Linked DNA regions of Caenorhabditis elegans. The protein of the gene in region 4 interacts with the protein of the main gene of each other region in a pairwise test. Each region holds a gene or a part of one and is shown on either strand. Other genes may lie near its edges.

The links.
Region 1: the proteins of memi-3 (region 4) and anmt-2 interact in a two-hybrid assay, tested with the Caenorhabditis elegans proteins (one large-scale study listed by BioGRID).
Region 2: the proteins of memi-3 (region 4) and Y39B6A.34 interact in a two-hybrid assay, tested with the Caenorhabditis elegans proteins (one large-scale study listed by BioGRID).
Region 3: the proteins of memi-3 (region 4) and him-8 interact in a two-hybrid assay, tested with the Caenorhabditis elegans proteins (one large-scale study listed by BioGRID).

Annotation. Positions count from the first base shown.
Region 1 is NC_003281.10:6,153,095-6,160,091, reverse strand, and holds anmt-2 (Nicotinamide N-methyltransferase), read left to right. Parts: upstream 1-2,333; 5' UTR 2,334-2,363; coding exon 2,364-2,485; intron 2,486-3,173; coding exon 3,174-3,660; intron 3,661-4,246; coding exon 4,247-4,324; intron 4,325-4,851; coding exon 4,852-4,989; 3' UTR 4,990-5,248; downstream 5,249-6,997. Other genes in the region: nfm-1 (FERM domain-containing protein), read right to left, coding at 1-213; rotr-1 (Nbl1_Borealin_N domain-containing protein), read right to left, coding at 5,359-5,508, 5,558-5,686, 5,800-5,988, 6,275-6,406, 6,472-6,580.
Region 2 is NC_003283.11:18,998,685-19,003,535, forward strand, and holds Y39B6A.34 (COA8 family protein Y39B6A.34, mitochondrial), read left to right. Parts: upstream 1-2,333; 5' UTR 2,334-2,335; coding exon 2,336-2,433; intron 2,434-2,655; coding exon 2,656-2,901; intron 2,902-3,019; coding exon 3,020-3,104; 3' UTR 3,105-3,172; downstream 3,173-4,851. Other genes in the region: tgt-2 (Queuine tRNA-ribosyltransferase accessory subunit 2), read left to right, coding at 1-195, 958-1,146, 1,744-2,142; nol-53 (Ribosome biogenesis protein NOP53), read left to right, coding at 3,272-3,371, 3,610-4,196. UniProt on the Caenorhabditis elegans protein: May be required for cytochrome c complex (COX) assembly and function, COX being the terminal component of the mitochondrial respiratory chain.
Region 3 is NC_003282.8:10,559,762-10,565,675, forward strand, and holds him-8 (C2H2-type domain-containing protein), read left to right. Parts: upstream 1-2,143; 5' UTR 2,144-2,152; coding exon 2,153-2,245; intron 2,246-2,304; coding exon 2,305-2,636; intron 2,637-3,087; coding exon 3,088-3,400; intron 3,401-3,449; coding exon 3,450-3,643; intron 3,644-3,691; coding exon 3,692-3,744; intron 3,745-3,953; coding exon 3,954-4,054; 3' UTR 4,055-4,213; downstream 4,214-5,914. Other genes in the region: zim-3 (C2H2-type domain-containing protein), read left to right, coding at 1-262, 349-600, 681-874, 923-984, 1,030-1,165, 1,206-1,224.
Region 4 is NC_003282.8:11,400,725-11,406,271, forward strand, and holds memi-3 (MEiosis-to-MItosis transition associated), read right to left. Parts: upstream 2,615-5,547; 5' UTR 2,614-2,614; coding exon 2,134-2,613; intron 2,087-2,133; coding exon 1,901-2,086; intron 1,852-1,900; coding exon 1,660-1,851; intron 1,610-1,659; coding exon 1,433-1,609; 3' UTR 1,221-1,432; downstream 1-1,220. Other genes in the region: his-66 (putative histone H2B 4), read right to left, coding at 1-62; his-65 (Histone H2A), read left to right, coding at 368-751; cyp-31A2 (CYtochrome P450 family), read left to right, coding at 3,248-3,340, 3,387-3,787, 3,831-3,927, 3,974-4,068, 4,117-4,831, 5,149-5,235.

The DNA.
Region 1 (6,997 bases), on a different chromosome or scaffold from region 4:
ATTCTGTAACCAACATGGAATATTCTTTTTATTTGTGAACTGTAGTCCAAAATACCAAGTTTCCCGTAATCCAATAATTCGACAAACTGCTTCAAATAAATGTCTTCCTGTCCATGTTTTCTCAATTACAATCTTCTCCAAATCAGCATCCATTGTGCTCACTTTTGCGTAAATGGGCTTCGTGTTTCGCGAAAATATCGAAAATCCACCCATTGCTATTTTTTGGAATTTTTGTAGGTGAAATTAGCCTGGAAGTTTAAGAAAAAAATAATACTAGCAACTATTATTCATTTCTGAAAAAAGACCGTTGTCTGCACATGAACGTATTGCACGTATTTTCTTTCCGTCAAGTAAGAACAACATCCAAAAATTCAGATACTAAAATTGCTTTTTTAGTTTCTTTGAAAATAAAAATTTCAGATAGTTTCAGTTTGAGGCAATTAGAAAATAACGTGGATTCCAATATTTCCGTTTAAAACTTCGGAAAGTTAGAAAAGTTCTATAGTCTCCGAAGTACTGAATTGGTTTCTCTAGGGTGAAAAATCAATAATGAGATGAAGCCCATCTTAAAAAAAGTATGTTAAATAGTTAAGAAAAGTGAAGAAAATCAATGTAAGTACGCCCCAGGGCAAATAGTGTTGTAACTGTATAGGTATCTGCGTCGAGGAACTCTATGCCAACTGTCTGTCTCACAAGAAGTGTTAGAACATATGAGAGGAAGGAGAGGCATTGGAACTAACAACAAGAGAAGATGATTGGAAGAGAGGACGAAACAATATTTCAACACTCATAATGATGATAGGTATGGAATCCCAGGTGCATTCATTGAAGAATAACTGATAAAAATATTGAAGAACAATGATTCAATGCCCCCAACTGATATGACGCATTGTGAAAATATGTGGCCTGGTCTCGTGTGAACAAGAATTTTCAGTTTTTCGATAAATAAAATAATGTCAACACGCCCTTTCCTCCTCCATCGTTTTTCTCCAAATGGTTTCGATACAAAAGTTACATCGACTGACGAGATTCAAAAAGATTCGCAGTCAGCAGGATTCGAACCTACGCGGACAGAGCCCATTTGATTTCGAGTCAAACTCCTTAACCACTCGGACATTCTTAACCACTCGGACATGACTGCACGTTTTGGTTTATTATCAAGTATATTTTCATTTTGTACAATTTCGAAGTTACAACGAAAAAAATGTGCGAAAAAATTGAAAAAAATTTAACGCAGTCAGCAGGATTCGAACCTACGCGGGCAGAGCCCAATTGATTTCTAGTCAATCTCCTTAACCACTCGGACATGACTGCACGACGAACCACAACTTTCGTGGCCTAGACATGCCGGGTGTTACGCATAATAGGAGGAGGGGATGGGGAGAAGTGGTCAATGGGGGGAGATGAAAGGGGGAATAGGGACAGTATAGAAAAATTCACACAATCGGTATTTTTCGATTGACTTATTATTATATTTTCAAAAGAGACATCAGTGTGAAGTGGGGCGCACTTGTGTAAGCAAAATGGCCAACAAAAATTCGAAAACTTCAGTAACTTTTCGATTAACCTCCCTATTCCTTTGAAGTCATATAATTTTCGAATGAAGTTTAAGTACATTTTTTCCATATTGAAAATTCAAAAATTCCAGAAAGATGAAATCCAGAAAAATGTTTCGAAAGTACAGTGTACTGATAGTGAGCTACAGTACAATTTTCGTAAGTACGCTCGATGGAACCTACTTTCCCTTAAATTTACAGTAACGCATTAAAGTTCTGCAAAGTTTCATAACCAATCTGCCAAAAAACTTCCTCATAACATAATTTGTTGTTTCCCATCTTTCCACTTTGCTCTTCGTACTCTGTGCCTGCTCCCACTGTCTGGCTCCCAACACTTCCTGCCGGGAGCCTCGGGAAATCCCTTCTTCCCTCTCTCTCTCTCTATCCTTCTCTCCCAGAGCTCCGAAAAAATAGGCGGAGCCAGAGCACACACTTATGCTCTCGCTCTCTGTGCAAGAGCCACCTCACTCAATTTTTGTGCTACTTCGAGAGTGTCGATGCCTCATTTGTTAATTGTTTGTTATTTGATGATGATAATGAATTGTTGTATCGATATTTAATTGCACTCTGCGTGGGTGTTATCACTTAAATATTAGAGTTTTTCTGGAAAAAAGGAGTAAACTTAAGAATTTTGGAGATTTTGAGGGAAAAACAAACATGTGAAAAGCGGAAGAAAATAGAGATATACATAGACTTTTAAAAGTGCTTTGTTTCCTTGTTATATTTCTGATTTTTTTTTTCAAAAATTTGGACTCAAAAAAATTAAAATATTTTCAGTGTCGTTTAATCTCTTATTTATACCTCGTCATGTCTACTCTCATCGACCCTACCATTACGGAATCATCGGATGCCCAGCATACTGTACTTTTGCCTGAGGACTACGTCAAGAAGTTCGATCCTGATGAGTATTTGCAGTTTTATTTCAGCAGGTTAGTCAGAAATCTTTGATATGTCGCAACGACCGTTCGATGTAACCCATGAGATGTCGGCCTCCCACCAATGAACACTTTCTGAGCCCCTTATCATGTAGGCTGCTTCAACAAACATGTCAAGCTACCATTTTCCAGAAATTGGTTATGAAACCCGTAAAATGTCGGTTGCCGCAATTTTTTAATGTTTTGAATCCAGTATTATGTCGGTTGTTATAATCTTGCGCGCGAGGTTGCCGCCACAAAACTTGGAAGAAACATTTTTCATAAATAACGGGCTTCAATTTCTAGAACTTTCGATCCCGATTTGCACTTTCTATCCGCTCTCGATACCGTTCACTTCATTTTTGACACAAAAACGAGTGGTTTGTTCACAAACAAAACCTCTTATCCCCGGCTTGCTTTGGCTTTGCTCCTGTTGCTGCTGCACACGAAATCGGTCGCAGATCGGTTACCTTTTTCTCTTTTTGAGTAGGAGAGGATCTTTTGTGTCAAGAGATCGAAAAAACTGAGAAAAGAGGAGGGAGGCATCATTGGCTCTTAGACTCTAAACTTTTGAAAATGAGACGACACATTTTTGGGTGCTATCAAGTCAAGTACCTGTCTGACAAGGAACGAACAATCCAAGGGAGAGAGTATAAACATCAGACATTCCATATATATCCAAAATTTCATTTCTCATTTCCAGAGATGCTATTGAAGATGGAACCCGTGTTTCCCTATTCGCACTTCCTGTCTTCGCCCAACTTATGCTCCAAACTATGCGACCTTCTGAACGTGAAACTCTTCTGGATATTGGAGCAGGACCAACCGTCTATTCGGCTCTTTGTTTCCGTGATGTGGCAAAGCGTGTTCACTTATCAGATTTTGTCGATCGGAACCTTGACGTTCTGAGAAAATGGATCCGCCACGAGGAGACTATTGACTGGGTGCCAACTATCAAAGTGATCAACCGAACGGAAGGAGGTCCCACTCCAACAGATCAAGTATGCATTGATGTTGAAGAAAAAGCCCGCGGATTGGTCAAGTCTGGTGGAATTCATTTCGCAGATGTTCACCAGATGGATGTGGTCCCTGAATTGGCTGGGAAGAAGGTGGATATCCTGGTGTCGATCTTCACGTTAGAAAGTGCTTGTCGCAACTATGAAGAGTATTGTAAATGTGTCACTAATATGGTAAGTCTAAATGGATTTTTGCGGTTTAGGCTTAGGCTTAAGCATATCGTTCGTTTTAGGAGCTTGATTATGCCATTAAGGTTATTTTACACGTCTCTTCTAAAATAGTTTCTGAAATCCCAGTACTGAAGATAGATCTTGGTTCACATTTCTTTTTCTCCATTTCTAAGTTCAAAACACGAATTTCTTTCGAATAGAGAACAATAAAATTGTAAACTACAGTAAACTACTAGCTCAAAGAGTTATTGTAAGTGTAATTCGATCTATTTTATTCTCCAGTAACAACTTCGTCATAACTTTCTTTTCATATTCCTATATCTCTTCACAATCAGTGTTCACTTCCCCTTTACACCCGTTCTCTATTTCTCTGTCTATCTTATATCCAATTTTCACGGTGCCAACGAAGAAAATGAAAAAAAAAAGAGTTTAGAAACAGATGTCTTTCATCTTTTCCAAGATGTAAAGTGTGTCGTTTTTCGGAAAAAAAAGAAATGAGAATGAGCCAACGACTGAATGGCACCAGATTTGATAGTTTGAAATGAGAAAAAGTGAAATCAAAATGTGTTTTGATTTTGTGTGATTCCAGATGAGACATCTCCGTTCCGGCGGTCGTTTTGTGCTTGGTTCGGTGCTCGAGGACGATGAGTACAACTCGGGAAGAAAGGTAGGAAAGGGCCAATTGATCTGGTAATTTGATCTGTGCTCTTGCGATTTTAACGGGGTCAGTTTGTGTGATTGCGTCAATGATGCAGGTATATATGATAGCTAGAGAAGTTTTATTGGTTTTAGGCGATGGGAATGAGGATTGAAGGATACAAATTCAGACTTGTGATAGAACATATCTTTTTGAAACAGTGCTAGTATTTTTTTTTTCTGAAATATTAGACGTTTAAGCGATACATTAACTTCGAAAACGGAGCAGTGGGGCCGCAAGACTAACATGTTACTGTACTTAAAATTAAAGGAAAAACCGATAAACCGTTTTCTCGAGGATGTTTCTTGTTTTTCTTTTTACTTCCTCTTACTTTTACCCGCTCTTAGCATATTTCCAAACTTTGTACAAAATTTAAAAAAAAAACATATGATTGTTTTTTCGCGCGGCGAGACCCAACTGTATAAATAGACCTGCATTAAAATTCGTAGCCAAAATACTCGTATGTATATGCCAACAAAAAAAATCAAAATTTACAGACAATCTTCCATCTCCTCAATCTCAGTGAACAGATGATTCTTGATGCTCTTGTATCTGTTGGTCTTGATGTTGCCAATGCAAAGAAATACGTTTTGGACGGAGAAGGTGTCATGTTCATAATGGCTACGAAGCTCTAAACTTGTTGTTTAATTAGATTCCCCACTCGATCATTTGTCAGTATTGATGAAGTCACTAGGCGTATATCAACAAAAAAGTACTGTACTCGGCTTTAGGTCTCTTTCACTTCTTTTTTTAATTGTGCACTATATTCTTTTCATATGTTTCGCTTTTTAATTGTAAAATGGTCAGAATTCATCCGTCCTCTGCATGTTGTATTTCGAGCTTACTGGTTTGCTTAATATTGATATAATAATAATAATAAATCTGTAGAAATTGAGAACTGAATTAAAAGTGGAGCATCAGTAGAAAAACGTTTGAAATCATCCAAAACCGAGGTAAGTGCTTAAATATAATAAAAGTGTGTTTCATATTCATCAATTTCAATTTCAAACTTTCTGAGTTCCATCATCGCTGGGCGGAGAACGATCGAGTCCCAACAATAGATCATCTCGATTTGGAGATGCAGGAGATCTAGAAGAAGGACGTGGCTTTTTGGAAAATGAAACATCTGATTCTTCTGATTCTTCACGACGACGCTATAAAAATTTCATTTAGTTATATTTTTTGATGGAATATTTAGATTACCGCTTTCAGTAAAACCCTTTTCACTTCATGAGCTGAGTTTCCAAGTTCTAGCAAATTGAACGCCGATGATATCATTTTCAGATTGGGTGGTGCGTACATTGAGATGTAGTTGCAAAATTGATTCAGGATCTCAAAAATATTTTTTAGGAACAATTAATCCAGAGAATCTGAATTAGGTGCCTTCAACCAAATCCAAAGAATACATACACTCTCGTTTCTCTGCAGTAACCGTTATTCCTCACCTGTGTCAATGTATGAAGCCTGTTAATCTCTTGAACGTCATTCTTGAATTTTTCAAACATTTCCAGCAACTGCTTCACTTCATCGTAACTAAATCCAATTTGCATTAGATCAAACTGTCGTTCCGCAGGAAATCTCATCAACTCCTCTTCGGACGCTAGTGGAGCCAGCATTTCAATGTGATTCTTCCGCTTAAATTATTTATTGAAAATTAAAAGATTTGATAATTAAACCAGTATAACATCGACGTAGGCATATAATACCTTCCTTGTGCCTACCTACTGCTACACTACAAGACCTACTTATTTGTTATTATCTCAGTTGGTTTACATCTAAAGGTTTACATCTACATCTAAAGTTATCATCTAAAGTGGCCTCAAAATGCAGAAAATGTGTAATAGTCAGGTAGGTCAGGTAGACTTGTTATGATAATATGGGCACGGGCCTACCTACTACGACAATCTCATAAAAACTTACTGTGTGATTGTTCAATAAACTGCTAAGAGTTGTTGGGGTCACCACAAAATTTTGGCTCTCTGAAGTCGTTGAAAGAGAGCTCTGAGAATCGAATCCCGGTTGAAACGACAGAGGTGTGCTGGGCTCGAATTTCTGGAAAATTGCAATCTTACTATTAGTCAAAAATATTGGAAAATTGAATTTAAAAAATATCCTACATTTATATTTGATTTCAAACGATTTTTCAAAGATGCCCTTTGTATATCGGCTGCCCGACATATCCTATCAAAGAATAGCTCTTTGTGTGGTCCAAGCAATGTAGAGAGTCTTAAAATTACCAAGTTTATATAAGAATACCAAAAAAGTAAAAATAGATTGCCCCAAACCAGGATCGAACTGGTGACCTTACGATCTTCAGTCGTACGCTCTCCCAACTGCACAGGTAAAGCGCCAAGTGCGAGCGGCGGCCCACCGGTGGACCGCATATAGGCGAGGGGGGACCGCATATAGGCGAGGGGGGACCGCATATAGGCGAGGGGGGAACCGCCGACACACGAACAGCGCGCACACCGGTGGGCCGCCGTTCGCATGTTAGCGGCTCGCTAATGGGTGAGCGATGGGTGAGCGATGGGTGAAGGCTATCGTTTCCATTCCCCTCCTTTTGCTTTTCAGTGAAGAATAATATTCATAAAACGAGTATATTATAGTATTATCGTTTATTTTAAATCGAAAAAAAAACAAAAT
Region 2 (4,851 bases), on a different chromosome or scaffold from region 4:
AAATCCGTCGCGATTTGGACGGCAAACGGAAAAGTTTCGTTGGATGTTAAAATGTGGCGGGAAATTATTAACTCGTTTGGTTGTGGCTCTATTGAGACTCTTGTCGACTATGATACACCGAAAGATGTTGGACAGAAGAAGCTTGTTAAGGCGGTGGATAGGACGAAAACCTTCCAAGAGCAGCTGTTTCAGCAGGTAGCGAAAAAATCAATTAAAAATTTGAATTTTTCAGGGGAAAAAATGAATGAAAAGCTACATTTTAGCATGAAAATGACTTTTTTTGTGAAAAACTGGTGAAAATTTGGTGAAAATCGGTTGAAACCTGGATTTTTTTCATTTTGGCGCTGCTAAGACTACAAACTACACAATTTTGGGCGCTGCTAATTCAATTTTGGGCGCTGCTTAGACTACAAACTACAATTTTTGGGCGCTGTTAATTCAATTTTGGGCGCTGCTAAGACTACAAACTACAATTTTTTGGGCGCTGCTAATTCAATTTTGGGCGCTGCTAAAGCTACAAACTACAATTTTTGGGCGCTGCTAATTCAATTTTGGGCGCTGCTAAAGCTACAAACTACAAGTTTTGGGCGCTGCTAATTCAATTTTGGGCGCTGCTAAGACTACAAACTACACAATTTTGGGCGCTGCTAATTCAATTTTGGGCGCTGCTTAGACTACAAACTACAATTTTTGGGCGCTGCTAATTCAATTTTGGGCGCTGCTAAAGCTACAAACTACAATTTTCTCGATTTTGAACTGAAAAATGACTTTTTTCCAGCTTTTTTGAAAGTTTTCACAACTTTTCTCCGAAAAAATTGCAAAATAATCGGTGTAAAAGCCTGAATTTTACCAGTTTGGGCGCTGCTTAGACTACAAAAACTACAACTTTTTTGTGTAAAAATCTAAATTTATTGCGATTTTCATAGTTTTTACACCAAATTTTCGCAAATTTTCTAGGACGAAAAAGTGAATGGAGAACGAATTGTGTCGCTGGGCGGTGGTTTCAGCAAGTATCATCGGAGGAAATGTGCAGTTGACGTTGGATTGGCTGAAAATATTGCTGGATACACTGTCGAATTTCGCGAATTCACAGAGGGAAAGGAAACTGACGATAAGGAGATGAAAGAGCTCCTGGAGGAGACTTTTGTTCGTTTTTTCACTGAAAATTTGGCTTTTCTGCGAAAAAAAAATAGATGAAAAGAGCATTTTTAACGATTTTTGAGGCAATTTCCGCTGAAAATTCATAAAAATTCCATTGAAAATCGTGAATTCCCTCGAAATTGCGAAAAAAATCGGCAATTTTGGTTAATTTTGAGCGAAAATGTGATTTTGGGCGCTGCTTAGACTACAAACTACAAGTTTTGGGCGCTGCTTAGACTACAAACTACAAGTTTTGGGCGCTGCTAACTACATAAAACTTCGTTTTCGACCAAAATTTCCTAATTTTTTCTAAAAATCACTTATTTCCGATAGAAATTTCCGATTTTCAAGCCGAAATATGCGAAAGTTCACCGAAAATCACACATTTCTGGGCAATTTTTCATTATTTTCCACCAGAAAATCACTAATTTCTTCAAATTTTTGAATTTTCCATAGAATTTCTGCTTGAAAATCCAAAAACCTGAATTTTTGGCGCTGCTAACCACACAAAAAGCACAATTTCCTCGGATTTTTAACTGAAAATCCCGGATTTCTAGCGGAAATGGTCGATTTTTCCCCAAAAAATCATGCATTTTTTTCCAGAGCCCACTTCCACCTACAAAACTCCGATGTATCTCAGGACCTTTCAACCCAAAAACCGTGCTTTTCCTCGTCCAACAAGGAATCGATCTGTTCGACTCGTCATTTCCAGTTAAATTGGCCGAAGAAGGCCACGCGTTCTGTCTTTCAGACGATTTTCCGACGTCTTCGAAATATGAAGTAGTGGATTTCAATAATGAGAAGTTCGCCGACGATTTTACCGCACTTTTCGACGGATGCGCCTGCTATACGTGCACAAAATACACTAAAGGATACCTACAACACCTTCTGAACACCCGAGAGCTTCTGGCTTCGATTTTATTAGTTATTCATAATATGACAGAGTATGATAAAATGTTTAAGCTTATTCGGAGCTCGTTGGAGAATTCTGAAGGATTGTGATTGGTTTTTTCAAATTTTTTTTGTTGATTTTATATACTCTATTCTTGTTATTTTTTCACTTGTTGGTTTCTTAATTTAATTAAACACCTTTTATTCAGCGTTTTATTGCAATTTTCCCGGTAAAAACTCCGGTTTTTTATATATTTCCTATAATTTTTTCCCTATTTCCCCAAAATTCAGCCTAATTTCCCAGATGTCATCGATTTCCTCCTCCTCATCAAATGTCCGAATGGATCGCCGATTCGATTGGGTTGGACCGCCGGATAATTTATCGAAAATTCGCAAAATTATGTGAGAAAATCCTGAAAAATACGCTGAAAATAAATAATTTTCGCAATTTTTAGCGCTGCCGCACGGAAAAGTGGGCGGAGTTTGGTGACGCAACACCTCCGCGCACTTTTCCATTTGTTAACGAAAACTAGATTTTAATCAATTTTCGTCGGTTTTCAGCGAAATTTTCCCATATTTTTTGCCAAAAATCTGTTTTAAAAATTATAATTATTGATTTTCCAGGCTCCGCCGCGTCGATAATGAGTCGGAACTCGAGCGGCAGTATCGGCTGGCTCGGGAAGAGCTGAATCAGTGGAATTCGGATTTTTGGGCCGAACACAATCAACTGTTCGACCGGCAAAAGTCGGATTTTGTCGAGCGAAAGCAGCAAGAGCTTGGAAGACTGGAACACGTGTCGGCGAACGAGCTCAGCGAGTTTTATCGCGATTTTTTGAATGATCGACACGTGGCGATGATGGCCTATAATAAGTGGGTGAAAATGCGGTGGAAATCGGATAAAATTGATTAAAATTGATGAAAATTCGCGAAAAATCGATTAAAATCCATGAAAATTGCTATTTTTCATGTAAAAAATCAATATTTTCAGAGAATGGTACCGCCGAAACCTGCAACTGATTTGGCCAGCACTCAAAGTCAACGTTGTCCGATTTTTCCGAATGGCGAGGCGTTAATTTGTAGATTTTTTGGGTAGTTTTAGTTGATTTCGTTGCTTTTTCCCCGATAAAAATGGGTTTTTTCTTGATTTTTTATCGTATTTCTTGAATTTTCAACGGGTTTTCCACCCTAATTTTACCTTTTTCAACCTTTTTTCCACTTTTTTGCCAATTTCCGCATTCAGATGGTCGCTGGAAAACGTACTGGAGCCGCGAAGGGCTCACGCCACAACAAGAAATATTGGAGAAAGGGAACGAATATCGATGATATTGAGGATTCGATTCGTAAGTTTATTTTCGAGCGATTGTCGCTGAAAAATCATCGAAATTTCCAGTATTTTGACGAAAAAACCAAAAATTTCCATTAAACATGGTAATTCTTTCAAAATTGCGACAAAAATCGGCGATTTTGGTTAATTTTGAGCGAAAATATGATTTTGGCGCTGCTAAGCTAATTTTAGGCAAAAATTCTCAATTTTTTCACGTTTTTAGGCTAAATTTCACTAATTTTTCCGATTTTCAGACATCAAATCCCGTCAGGCAGCAACTGGAGGTGTCATTTCTGAGATGAAAGACGAAGATCTGTTCATTGTCGATCGTACCGCCACCGCCAACAAGCCAGTCGTGCCGAAACTGACGAAAAAGCAGCAGGCCGCGTTGGAAAAAATCACCAAAAACATCACACAGGAGCATGTCACACTTCCAAAACCATCCACCACATCGAAAATTCTGAAAAAACCCGCCAAATTGCCACGTGGCAACGCGATTTTGGCGCTGAAAAAGGGGCCAAAAGCAGCGGCGCCGGCGGCGAAAAAGAAGAATTTCGACGTTTGGACGACTGATTTGACGCCGAAGATTCCGAAATCTAAGCTTGAGAATCAAGAAGCCGCAGAGCATTTTCTGAAAGTTGTGAAGAAAAAGCAGCCGAAAACGCCAGGAAAATCGATTACAAGTCTGCTTCCAGCAGTACAAATTGCCGAAGGAGGTGCTTCTTATAATCCAGAAAGTGCAGAATATCAGGAATATGTGGCGAAAATTGCCGGAGAAGAACAGAAATTGATTGATCACGAGGCGAAGATTAAAGCCGGAATTGAGCCACAGTGGGAGAAGGTGTGTGTAGGCGTTGAGAAGGAAGAAATTGGCTGGAAATTTGAGAAAAATTGGAGAAAATCCGAGAAAAATGGTCGAAAAATCGAAGAAAATGGCCTAAAAATTGTTGAAATTTAGATTTTGGCGCTGTTTAGACTACAAAAACTACAAAAAGCAGCTGCTACCAAAATTTTTTGGAGCGATTTAAATGGAAATTTAGCGAAAATAGAGAGAAATCCAACTGATTTGCTGAAAAAATTGGCGAAAATCGCAGAAAATAGATGAGAAACAGGAAAATTAGAGAAAAAATTGGCGAAAATTGGTGAAAAACCAGAGAAAATATGAAAAGTCGACGAATTTGGCTCAAAAATTGTTGAAATTCGAGTTTTATTGCTCTGAAAATTGCATTTTCATCTAGAAAATTTGGAAAATAGCGAAATTTTAACCAAAAAAATCGAGAGAAACTTGAATTTTTGCTCATCTAGAGCCTAAAAACATGAAAATTGTATTTTTTTTGGACGATTTTCAGCCAAAATCGGCAATTTTCAGGTGAAAAACAGGAGATTTTGGTCAAATTTTGTCCAAGTACCAACAAATTTTAGATTTTGGGCGCTGCTTAGACTACAAAGACTACAAAATCATGGTTTTTTACTCATTTTTCTTGATTTTGAACTAA
Region 3 (5,914 bases), 840 kb from region 4:
ATCGATTGAAAGCTCAAATGAAACCATGGTGCCACACTCCGAACCAATTCCACTGGATAAAGATGGATTCTCATATGAACAACCAATTAATGAATATGGAGATAATGAATCGTTTTTGTCAGCAAAAAGTCTTTGCACTGAGCCCAGGAGTTCTATTTCTGAGGACGTGAAGCCGGTTTTGAAAGCTACGGATTCAGAAAGAACAGTTTCGATTGGGAATCATATCGTTGATCATCATCCAGTCATAGAACTGTCAACTGAGGTAGGATTGAAGAGATTTCCTTTATTTCTAATTTGTAAATTGTCGCAACATGATGAGATTTTCGTTTTTAATTGAATATTTTGCAGCATAATACCATGGGAGAGTTTCAATATGATTTCGATGATGAGGATACTGTGCTGATCGGAAATTATGAAGAAGTTGGAACAGAAATTGATGAGGCAGAACAGCAGAATGAGGAAAACAGTGAAGATGATGAAGAGGATGAGAGCCCGATTCCTTCGACGAAAAAAGTTTCGTTTGCTGTTCCAGTTGTCCAACGTCTTAACAAGCGAAACGAGCAAATGAATAAAAATCATATTATTAAATGTAATTTCGAAGTAAGTTCCGATCTGAGCCATTTCTTAGGGAGGATGTTCAGGAAATATGACAACATTTAAAAAAAAGAAGCTATTTTCAGGGTTGTAAGCAAATTCTCTCGTGGAAACTTCGATACGGCAAACAACGACTTCTGGATCATGCAATGACTCATGAAAATGAAAAGTGTCTCGTTTGTCGCACATGTGAATACTCTTGCAGTACACATCCCCAAATGAAGTATCACTATCAAAAAATGCATCCAGAAGTGAGGTGTGATGGGTTTAATATTCAGAAGTAAGCCGTCAATTGTTCAATAAATTATATAAAACACGATTATTTCAGAGTGTTCAATATCGAATTTGATGAAGTGGCGATTTTCGATCTTTTCCAAAAGTGCTTCGGAGGTATTAGACAGATATGAAATATTGATATTCAATGTGTAATTACAGCACATTCTTCCATCATCGGAAATATTGGGAAACCGCGGAGATATAAAAAATGTAAAAACTCGCTGAAAAATACTCCAGAAGTCGACAATGAGAATGTAGATAAAGACTCTCCAGGACCATCACACGATCTTTTCTAGTAGGTTTTTCCATATACTTTATTTTATTCTGAAGTTTAGTTTTCGCAGAATTCGCTGATCGTCTTTCGCTACGACTCTGCACAATGTGTTATTTGTCAACTCATGTAACATTTGCAATGTTTTTTAGTAATAGTTTCATTGTTTTGTTTTGTTTTTTGTTTGTTATTGTCGAGATAAACTTATAAAATATGTTTTTCATTAAAAAATAACTTGTTTTGTAAATTTTTTGTCCGCGAGTTTTTCATCTATAATACCTTTTTTGACTATTAAATTCAGTTCTGTATATATGTGATATCACTAAATTTTAATATACCTTCTTAAAGGCACACGGAGTTATTCAGATGGGCATCGAGGCGCAAAAAGTTTATGGTACTTTTCTTTAACTTTTTCGGCTGCTTCATTCCTTTTTTAAAAACATTACTTCGTTTTTTGCTAATTTTCTTATTAACTTTGCATTTTTCTGTTAAATTTTTTTAATATCCTTCTTCGTGTAAAACATGCATTTTTGATCATAAATGTTAATTGTACTATGGAAAAAACTGATCTAAAACAATTTTAAACAGGAAAATGAGTAGAAAACGACAAACTTCGCTAAAAACTAAGTGATTTTTTCTTGAAAATACAAGAAAAGCGTAGCAGCAAAAAATTGAAAAAAAACCTAGGTTTAAACCTATTTACCATACACTTTTTGTGCGGCGAGACCCATCGGAAAAAATACGAGAAGGCTCGTCAATATCTTGTTAAAATATGAAAATTTTCTAATTTCAAAGATGCATGCCAGATTATTATGAAATAACAGATGACATGCATGTAAATGGGTCTTCTGGCACGATATGGTGCAGCAACAGCAGAATGAGGGAAAACTAGGCCCTCGTGTAAAACGAGATTATTTGTTTTTAATTTGAATATTTAATGCTGTGATTCCCTTTATTTTTGTTGCTCGACCCTATTTAAATGTTTAATAATTATTTTTTCAGATACGATAAATGAATGGAAATTCTTTAAATTCGTTTGTTAATATCAGAATCTATGGAAAAACTCTGGAAAACTTGAAACATTATGGATTGATTGAATATTTGGTAAGCCTATCTTTTTTTCATTGCTGAGTATTCGTTTTTGAAACTATTACGATTTACAGAATGAATTCGCCGGTGGCAGCTCATTTGTTTCCCTCACCGAGAGCACGTCGATATCTTCAATCAACACTGCTACAGTCGATACTCCTCGTTTCTCCACTCCAATCGTTCCAAACGTAGGATTATATCAAAAATTCACACTGAATCTTTCGGAAAAAATATCCGAAATTGGACCGAACGACGAGAACGAAGATTTGAAGGAAAGCTATGATCAAGAACCAGAAGAAGAACTAAATAGTTCACATGAAAGTAATAATAGTGTGGAAAAAGTTATGGATATGATAATCGAAGATGTTGTTTCCAATCATACGACGAATATTGCAGATGGAGACGAGTACGTTTTTTTTTAATACAAAATTTTTTTTTCAATAATTTAAACTCTTTTAGCAGTGAATCTTAAATTACGCTGAATATTTTCTCGTAGTCCAAATTAAAAATTCATTCACTTGTTTTTTCAAAGCTTCGAACCTGTTTTAGACATTACCCATATGCAAAATTTTGTAATTTTTACCCTAGAGATCGATTTTAGTTTAATTCAAAAAAGTGTGCGCCTTTAAAAAGTACTGTGGTTCCCAGATTTTTTTTGTTGAATCATGTATATTAAAATACATCAAGTTTTGAAGAAACGGAGGAAAAACTAGGAAAAATTAATGCGGATTCTGCAAAAACAAAGTTAGTAACTACAGTACTCCTTAAAGGTGCATTCTTTTGAACCTGAAAAAAAACGGTTGCCGAGAGACCGGGTACCGTTAGTCACAAGAATTTAAATTTCGTTTTTTTTTCAGTATTAATTCGCCGATTGTATCATCTGGACAGTCGGAGTTTCTCCAAGACGGTGTAGACAACGATGGAAATATTGATGATTATGAAGAGTATCAGTCATTACCACCGAATGATGATGTTATTATGAATGAAACAGAATTGATGGATGTTGATCGAACCACAGTGATGACTCCATTACGAAGTCCTACATTTTTCGATTATCACAACGAATCCGGTGATGAAGATCAGTTGAATGAGAATGAAATGAAATCTCCAGACAGCAAAAACGACGAGATTAATAAAGATGAAATCCACAATATTCAATGTCATTTCCCGGTGAGTTAAATTTTCTGTTTGTTTTTTTCCATTACCTGGATTGTTGCAGAACTGCAATCGAGCAATTGCGTGGAAGAGGAAATATGGAAAACTTCGTCTTATCGATCACGCATTGGTCCATTGCGATAAAAACTTTCTGAAATGCAAAAAATGCAAGCACACTTGTCATACAATCCGTCAAATGCGTTATCACTATCGCATTTTTCACTCAACATCAAAAATGGAAGGCTTCGGAGTGTCTGGGTAAACTTTCTGAAATTAAAATATTTCAACAAATTGCAAATTTTTCAGCTTGCCAACCAAAAATAAAGGATTCCAAAAAATTATGAATGCTTGTTTCGCAGGTAAGTATCAAGTTAAAAATTATAGTTTTACATCCATATGGTTTTTGATTTTTTAGATTTGCTCTAATTTTTAAATTTTTAAAATCTTCTTGATAAAAATCGACTCAAAAAATTCATTTACTGTAGGCCAAATTGTTCAATTTAATTTCAAACATGGATTGGAAACTGAAAATTCTGTTTCATAATTCAGTTGAAAGTCAATTGTTCAGATCAATTGGTCGAGATGAACAAACGAAAAAATCCTCCAAAATCTCAAAATGGCAGCCGCCGTAGCCGGGTCAAGTCAAAGTCCAAGAGAAGTGGCATCTAGAACTTTGCAAGTTCACAGCCGTTTTATTTTGTAAATATCGGCATATTGCATACTTCATACATTATACATGCCTACAGCACGAATCTCGAAATTTTAATATAATTCGGTTTATGTCATATTTCTACAAAGTTTGTGTCATTAATAAAATCTTATTGATAATCAGCTCGAGATTAGTAAAACTTTGGCTCAGAAAATGGAAATTTAAGATCTGGCGCTTCAAATTGTTTAAAATGATATAAATCTCTACAATCAGGTAATACAAGGGTTAATGAATAAAATTCTTTCAATGCTGTTTGATGTTCTCACAGATTCCTCATCGTACTTTTACGACAAATTCGGCGCCTAAAGCGTCACGATACCCATAAAAAGACACACCGGACCTATAAAAACTTCTTCCTCCACCACTTCTTTTTTTCGATACGAGACGCGCTCATAAAAACGGATATTCATCATTATATACACAGAGATGAAGCAATTTTTTACCTTCTCTTTTTTTCCATTATTTACCGGTCTTATTTTTTAATGGAAAAGTTCCCCCTCTTCGGTCAACTATTTCGATAATCGCTTCATTTATTATAATTGGAGTGAGCGTAGTGAGGCTGTTGCGGTTCAATTATTATGAGCGACCGGCGTGAAAATGGATAGGAATTTATGATGAGTTTCATGTCGGCTCTTTGCAAAATTTGCGTTGCATTCTATGAAATTGCGAATTGGAATTGGAAACAATTTTAAATGACCTTTTGATGTTATTCAAATACTATCCCTTCTAAGAATTTTTCGGCTGACTCCCCGACAACTATGTGCCAAATTTGTCAAAACATATTAACTTGTTCAGAAGTTGTCAAAATTAGGCAAAGGTTAGGTAGGTACTTGGATTAAGCAAACCCAAGTTTAAGCTGATTGTAAGTTTATAATTTCAGAATTAAAGATTTTATTAACTGTGAAAGTTTGAAAGTTTCAGATCCATCCAAAATAATAATTATTTTTGGAGTTGATTTCAAGCATACTTCTACAAAAATTTTTCATGTTATGTGATCATGTAAAGATGATTTCCAAAACTTTCAATCCATTACCCGATATTTACACTATCTTACTGTACCGTACTTCTAAATCATTAATGAGATTAGAATACGTTATTCAGATAGATGTTTGGAAACTGTTTAGCTAAAAATCTTAATTTATAAGCGATTACTATTTACAAATTTACAAAATATGTCTAAATACACCATAGAATAGTTCAATATGTATGGCCAAAAATCATAAGAAAACGATCCAGGAACTTTCAAAATTTTCTAGTAAAGTTGTGGTAAAATGCATTTTTCACAAGGTTTCGTAATGTTTCAACTAAATGTTCCATCTGTAAACAACTTAGTAATTACTGTAGAACAGCTTTTTGTGGAAAGCTCTCAAATAGTTTTGCCGACTAAAATGAACAATTAAAAAACCTGAACAGTTTATTAATTCTGTTTTGTACTTTTACAAAACACCTTCATAGTTAAAGTTTTCCCTTCGATTATTAACTTGAGCCCAAGAAACAATTACGCTTAGCTCTAGAAGCTTCGTACGTAGAAGCTTTGAACCCTAGTTAAAATAAAAGTATGTGTCCAAATCCAAAAAAGATCAACTGCTCTTAACGAAATCTGGCGAAATTCAATTTTAGTAAATCGAATTTCAGAATATTTCATCACGATGAAAAGGACACATTATTATGAAAAGTGCAAAGTGTTGCAAGGATCTTTGAAAATAATTTATTATGGAATAGGAAATGTTAAAATCACTCTAGCTTACAAGATAAGTATAGGTAATACAAAAAATATTTTCTGTGTTAAGATTTTACTATAGTTACAATAAACAAAGCGG
Region 4 (5,547 bases):
GGCTTGGCAACGACGGTCTTGGCGGCCTTCTTGGCTCCCTTGGCAGATGGCTTTGGTGGCATGATGAGAATGAACTTGAATCAAGTATGAGGAAATGGTTGGAGAGACACCTATTTATGTAAAAACTGCGGTGGAGGGGCGGAGCTTCCCGCGGGGACACATTACTGAGTGCACACAAAATTCCGAATGTACCGAGGTTAATAGGGGGACAAAGAGAAGTGAGAGAAATGTGTCCTACCAGAGAGTGCGGAATGTTCAAATAGAGGTGTCCCCGCATGAAACTCCGCCCCTCCACCGTAGAAATGAATATAAACAGACAGTTTCGATTCATTCTTCAGATTCGTCTTACGAACACCAATCGCTCATCATGTCTGGACGTGGAAAGGGAGGCAAAGCCAAGACCGGAGGAAAGGCCAAGTCACGCTCATCAAGAGCTGGACTTCAATTCCCAGTCGGTCGTCTTCACCGTATTCTTCGCAAAGGAAACTATGCTCAACGTGTTGGAGCCGGAGCCCCAGTCTACTTGGCCGCTGTTCTTGAATATCTCGCTGCTGAGGTTCTCGAGTTGGCCGGTAACGCTGCCCGTGACAACAAGAAGACCCGTATCGCCCCAAGACATCTTCAACTCGCTGTCCGCAACGACGAGGAGCTCAACAAGCTTTTGGCCGGAGTGACCATCGCCCAAGGAGGAGTTCTTCCAAACATCCAAGCCGTTCTTCTCCCAAAGAAGACTGGAGGAGATAAGGAGTAAGAACTTTCTTCTTTAAACAAACCCACCGAACCCAACGGCCCTCTTTAGGGCCACAAATATAAAAAATCCTAAAGATATTTCATATTACATTTATTTTGAATAATATGTTTGCTTGAATTCAATCAGTATTACTGTCAATAAGTTTTCACATGTTTTCGAGCCAAGATATCGGTCAGGAAACGACATTTAGAAATTGCAGAATTATGATCACTATGTAATGTGGCCAATTGCCTATCAAGCCTCAAGTATCGAAAAGTTGCATGTCGCAAGCTGGAATTGCCAGCGTTTTCAGAAATTTGCGTTCATTAATTCTAATTTCGAATTCATCTTTTTAGGCTGGAGGCATCTTCCATATCGTAAATCATTGTACCCGGCTGTATAAAAATTTTGATATCTGAAACCAGAAAATTATCAGCTTATCAGAAGAATTTAATTTGAAAAATTTTTCAGAGTCATGTTAAAAAGATTTTTTAAATCAACCAGTTCATGATTTGGTAAAGTTAATTCAAGCAATATACATGTTGAACATAAACAAAATATTCGAGGGTCATGGTGAGTTGGAGGAATGGAAAATAAAATAGGGGAAAGTTAGTTGATATATTTAACAGGAACCACTTAGTTATTCAGATAGATATATACAAAAACTTATGCACATTATAACTAATTATTGGACAAATGAATTCACTCTTCATCCAGTTCGAATGTTTCGAGGAACGAGATTAGGTCGTCGACAAGCACCATTCCATTTCTCAACGAGACCATATCGTTTTCGACCTCGAATTCATGAAATTCGACTGGCTCTTCGACAATCTGCACTCGTCGGTTCATGCACTTCACCGTTTGCTCCAATTCGATGTACTGAAAACGTTATAAATTGGAAACCGATAAATTATTGCTATTCAACTCACTCTATATCTCCGGAAAGGATCCCTGGCGCTCGAGTTGTTATTGTACACGATCCTCGTTTCCACGTGGCGCTTTCCTCGAATCGAACACGTGATTGATGCAGTCGAGGCCATCAGTCGGCCTTGTGAATCGAGTCCTGGCTCGAGATTTCCGTATTCCCGGCAGTTTGTTGTTCGCAGGCGACGAGTGGTAGTCTGAAATATGAAAAGTTATCGGTGTGAAATAGAAAACTATTTTACGTACACTCTTGCTCTGTGATCGGATCAATGTTGCCACCACAAAGCTGTCTGTCATCTGGAAGCCTTCGATTTCCATCTCCAGTTTTTCGAGAATTGCAAACAATTGCTGGAACGGCATTGCAGTCTTTGCCTGGATCGCAAATCGAACCACATTTTGACCCGTCTCTTTCGGCTCGGCCAGGAGGGAAGTCTGAAATAAAAAAATTTTTTTGGGAAAAATATACTCAAGAAACTAACTAGAATCAGACTGGAGATATCTTCGGCCGAAAGCATGCGGCACTGAGCGGCGAAATAGTGTGGTCGCTGGTTCGGATGAAGGAGCACGTGCTCGACAAGCGCTTTCTCCGATTCTCTGGTCGTGTTGAACCATCTTTGCGAGAAGAAGTCGTAGCGCTTGAGACGGAGATTTTCAATCGGCATTGTTTGAATGTCTCTTAGCACTTTGACAGCTTCATCGCGGATGATTGCCTTGCTCGGCTTCTTGTCGACGAGCTTTGGAGTTTCATCGATACGATGCAGGGAACGGTAGTTCTTATCCTCGACGAGCTCCACGTCTTCTCCATGCCCTTCGATAATTGCATCATGATTGATGTTGGGTTGTGGTGGGAGGGCTGAGCAACCGGCTCGAGCGGTTTCCAATTGATATTCATCGGTGTAGTTGGCCACGTATTTGGTCGCCGTCAATTCGCGAAGAACGGTACGGGACGGAGCTGACATTCTAAAAAACGTTGGTTTGAAAAATTAATGGAAAAATAAGAATTCGAAGCAAAAATTAAAGATAAAACTTTAAAAAAAACAATGTACTCAAGTGATTAACAGATTAATAATGCTTCACCGATAAAACAATATTTATGAAATTTCATTACGGCTCTCTGAACATCAGCAAAGTAGAAGAATGTTCACAATCAAAAATTTTCGTTGGGCCTAAAATAACACAATTGTTGCGCTGACTTTTCGCGGGGGAGATCGAATAGGTCAAATAGGCGATGCATTCATAAAAAGTACAATACTTATTGAAAAATAATTTTGGATTTGTTTTCTTTTTTTTTTGTTGAAAAATTAACGCGATTGAAAGTTTTTAATCATTAAATCAAGATTTAAATATCATGATATATCAGAAAACAACAAAAATCAGTTTTAGAATTTTTTTGAGCCTACCGTACTCTTTAAAGGCGCATGGCGATTTTCAGATGGGTCTCACTACGACATGCGTGAAATTTGAATGTTGATTCAAAAACTGTTCGTTTTTTTTCTTTTTTTAGAACCAAAGCTTAACAAACGCTTTTTCTCATGTTTTAAACGCGTTTTGCTCGTTTCTTCGCACAAATAAATTATTTCAGAAGGTTTTGCAATGGGGGTCATCATCCCCGCTGTACTTCTCGCTATGGCGACTGTGATCGCTTGGCTTCTCTACAAACATTTGAGAATGCGTCAAGTTTTGAAGGTCAGATTGCAAAATGCATTCAAAGATAACTCAAATAAATTTCCAGCACCTCAATCAGCCACGATCATATCCAATCGTTGGTCACGGACTCATCACCAAGCCCGATCCAGAGGGATTCATGAACCAAGTGATTGGAATGGGATATTTGTATCCAGATCCACGGATGTGTCTTCTCTGGATTGGCCCATTTCCATGTCTGATGCTCTACTCTGCCGATCTTGTTGAACCAATTTTCTCATCGACGAAACATCTGAACAAAGGGTTCGCATACGTTTTGCTCGAGCCATGGCTTGGAATCAGTATTTTGACGAGCCAAAAGGAACAATGGCGTCCAAAACGAAAACTATTGACACCAACATTCCATTATGATATTCTCAAGGATTTTTTGCCGATTTTTAACGAGCAATCAAAGATTTTGGTTCAGAAATTGTGTTGCCTCGGAGCAGAGTAAGAATTTTAATTGATAACTCGTTCAAATGTTTCTTTTCAGTGAAGAAGTTGATGTTCTCTCCGTTATAACCCTTTGCACTCTTGACATCATTTGCGAAACCTCTATGGGGAAAGCTATTGGTGCTCAACTCGCGGAGGTTGGGTAAACAACTCGAATCTCAAAATTTCTAAATACTTTTTCAGAATAACGAGTATGTATGGGCGGTGCACACAATCAATAAACTGATTTCAAAAAGAACAAATAATCCGTTGATGTGGAATTCATTTATTTATAATTTGTACGGTAGTTTTATCATTAATAAGGTGAATTAATTTGTAATTTTCAGAACAGAGGACGGACGGACTCATGAAAAATGTCTTCGTATTCTCCATGATTTCACAAAGAAAGTGATTGTCGAGAGAAAGGAAGCTCTACAGGAGAATGATTATAAGATGGAAGGTCGTCTCGCATTTTTGGATCTTCTTCTCGAAATGGTGAAAAGTGGACAAATGGACGAAACAGATGTTCAAGCAGAAGTTGACACATTTATGTTTGAGGGTCACGATACAACATCTACAGGATTAATGTGGGCAATTCATCTTCTGGGAAATCATCCTGAAGTTCAGAGAAAAGTTCAAGCGGAACTGGATGAAGTAATGGGCGACGATGAGGACGTGACTATTGAACATCTCTCCAGAATGAAATATCTCGAATGTGCACTAAAAGAAGCTCTGCGTCTCTTTCCATCTGTTCCAATTATTACAAGAGAACTGAGTGATGATCAAGTCATTGGAGGTGTTAATATTCCAAAAGGAGTCACTTTTCTTCTCAACCTGTACCTTGTTCACCGTGATCCTGCTCAATGGAAGGATCCTGATGTATTCGACCCGGATCGCTTCCTTCCTGAAAACTCAATTGGTCGCAAATCATTCGCCTTTATCCCATTCTCAGCTGGAAGCCGTAACTGCATTGGCCAACGTTTTGCACTCATGGAAGAGAAGGTCATCATGGCTCATTTGTTGAGAAATTTCAATATAAAAGCTGTCGAATTGATGCATGAGGTAAGAATTGGAAACACCGCCGATTAGCTTTTTTTGTATGACTAGGCAAAATAAGCTATGTTTCAATCCAAAACTTTGAAAATTATTGCAATATCTATTTTCTCGCAGAAATGTTTTCATTTCGCTATTTTAAACGGCTCTCGGTGTCGATATACAAAAGAAATTGCAAAATGAGCAAATTCCAGCGAGGAAATAAAATTACAGTAGTTTTCAATGTTTTTGATTTTAAAAAAAGCTTATCTTGCTCTCTTATCCCCAATAGACGTACTTGAAAAATAGAGAATGTAAAAATAAAATTCTAATTAAAAAGTATTCAGGTCCGCCCGAAAATGGAGATCATCGTTCGCCCGGTCACTCCAATTCACATGAAGCTCACCAGACGTCGTCCCATCGTCTCTCCATGATTTGAAACTAATTTGAAAATTTGTAAACAGCTAGTTTTATAGTTTTATTCGAGATTATATTTTTTTTTATTGCATGATAAATTGTAAATTGCACTCGTATTAATGATTTAATTGAAAATATCCTAAAAATGATATAGTTGTGATTTCATCTTCATCTGATTTCATCTGAAGTGGTGTAAATCAAGCACAAGAACCGATTTTCAAGTTCGAAGCTTCAATTGACGCACACCGTGTCTGTCCTATGATTTTCTAGCGAGAATTTATGAATTTTATTCAACTATTCGGGCGTTTTCAGAGACGCAGACTTTTGAA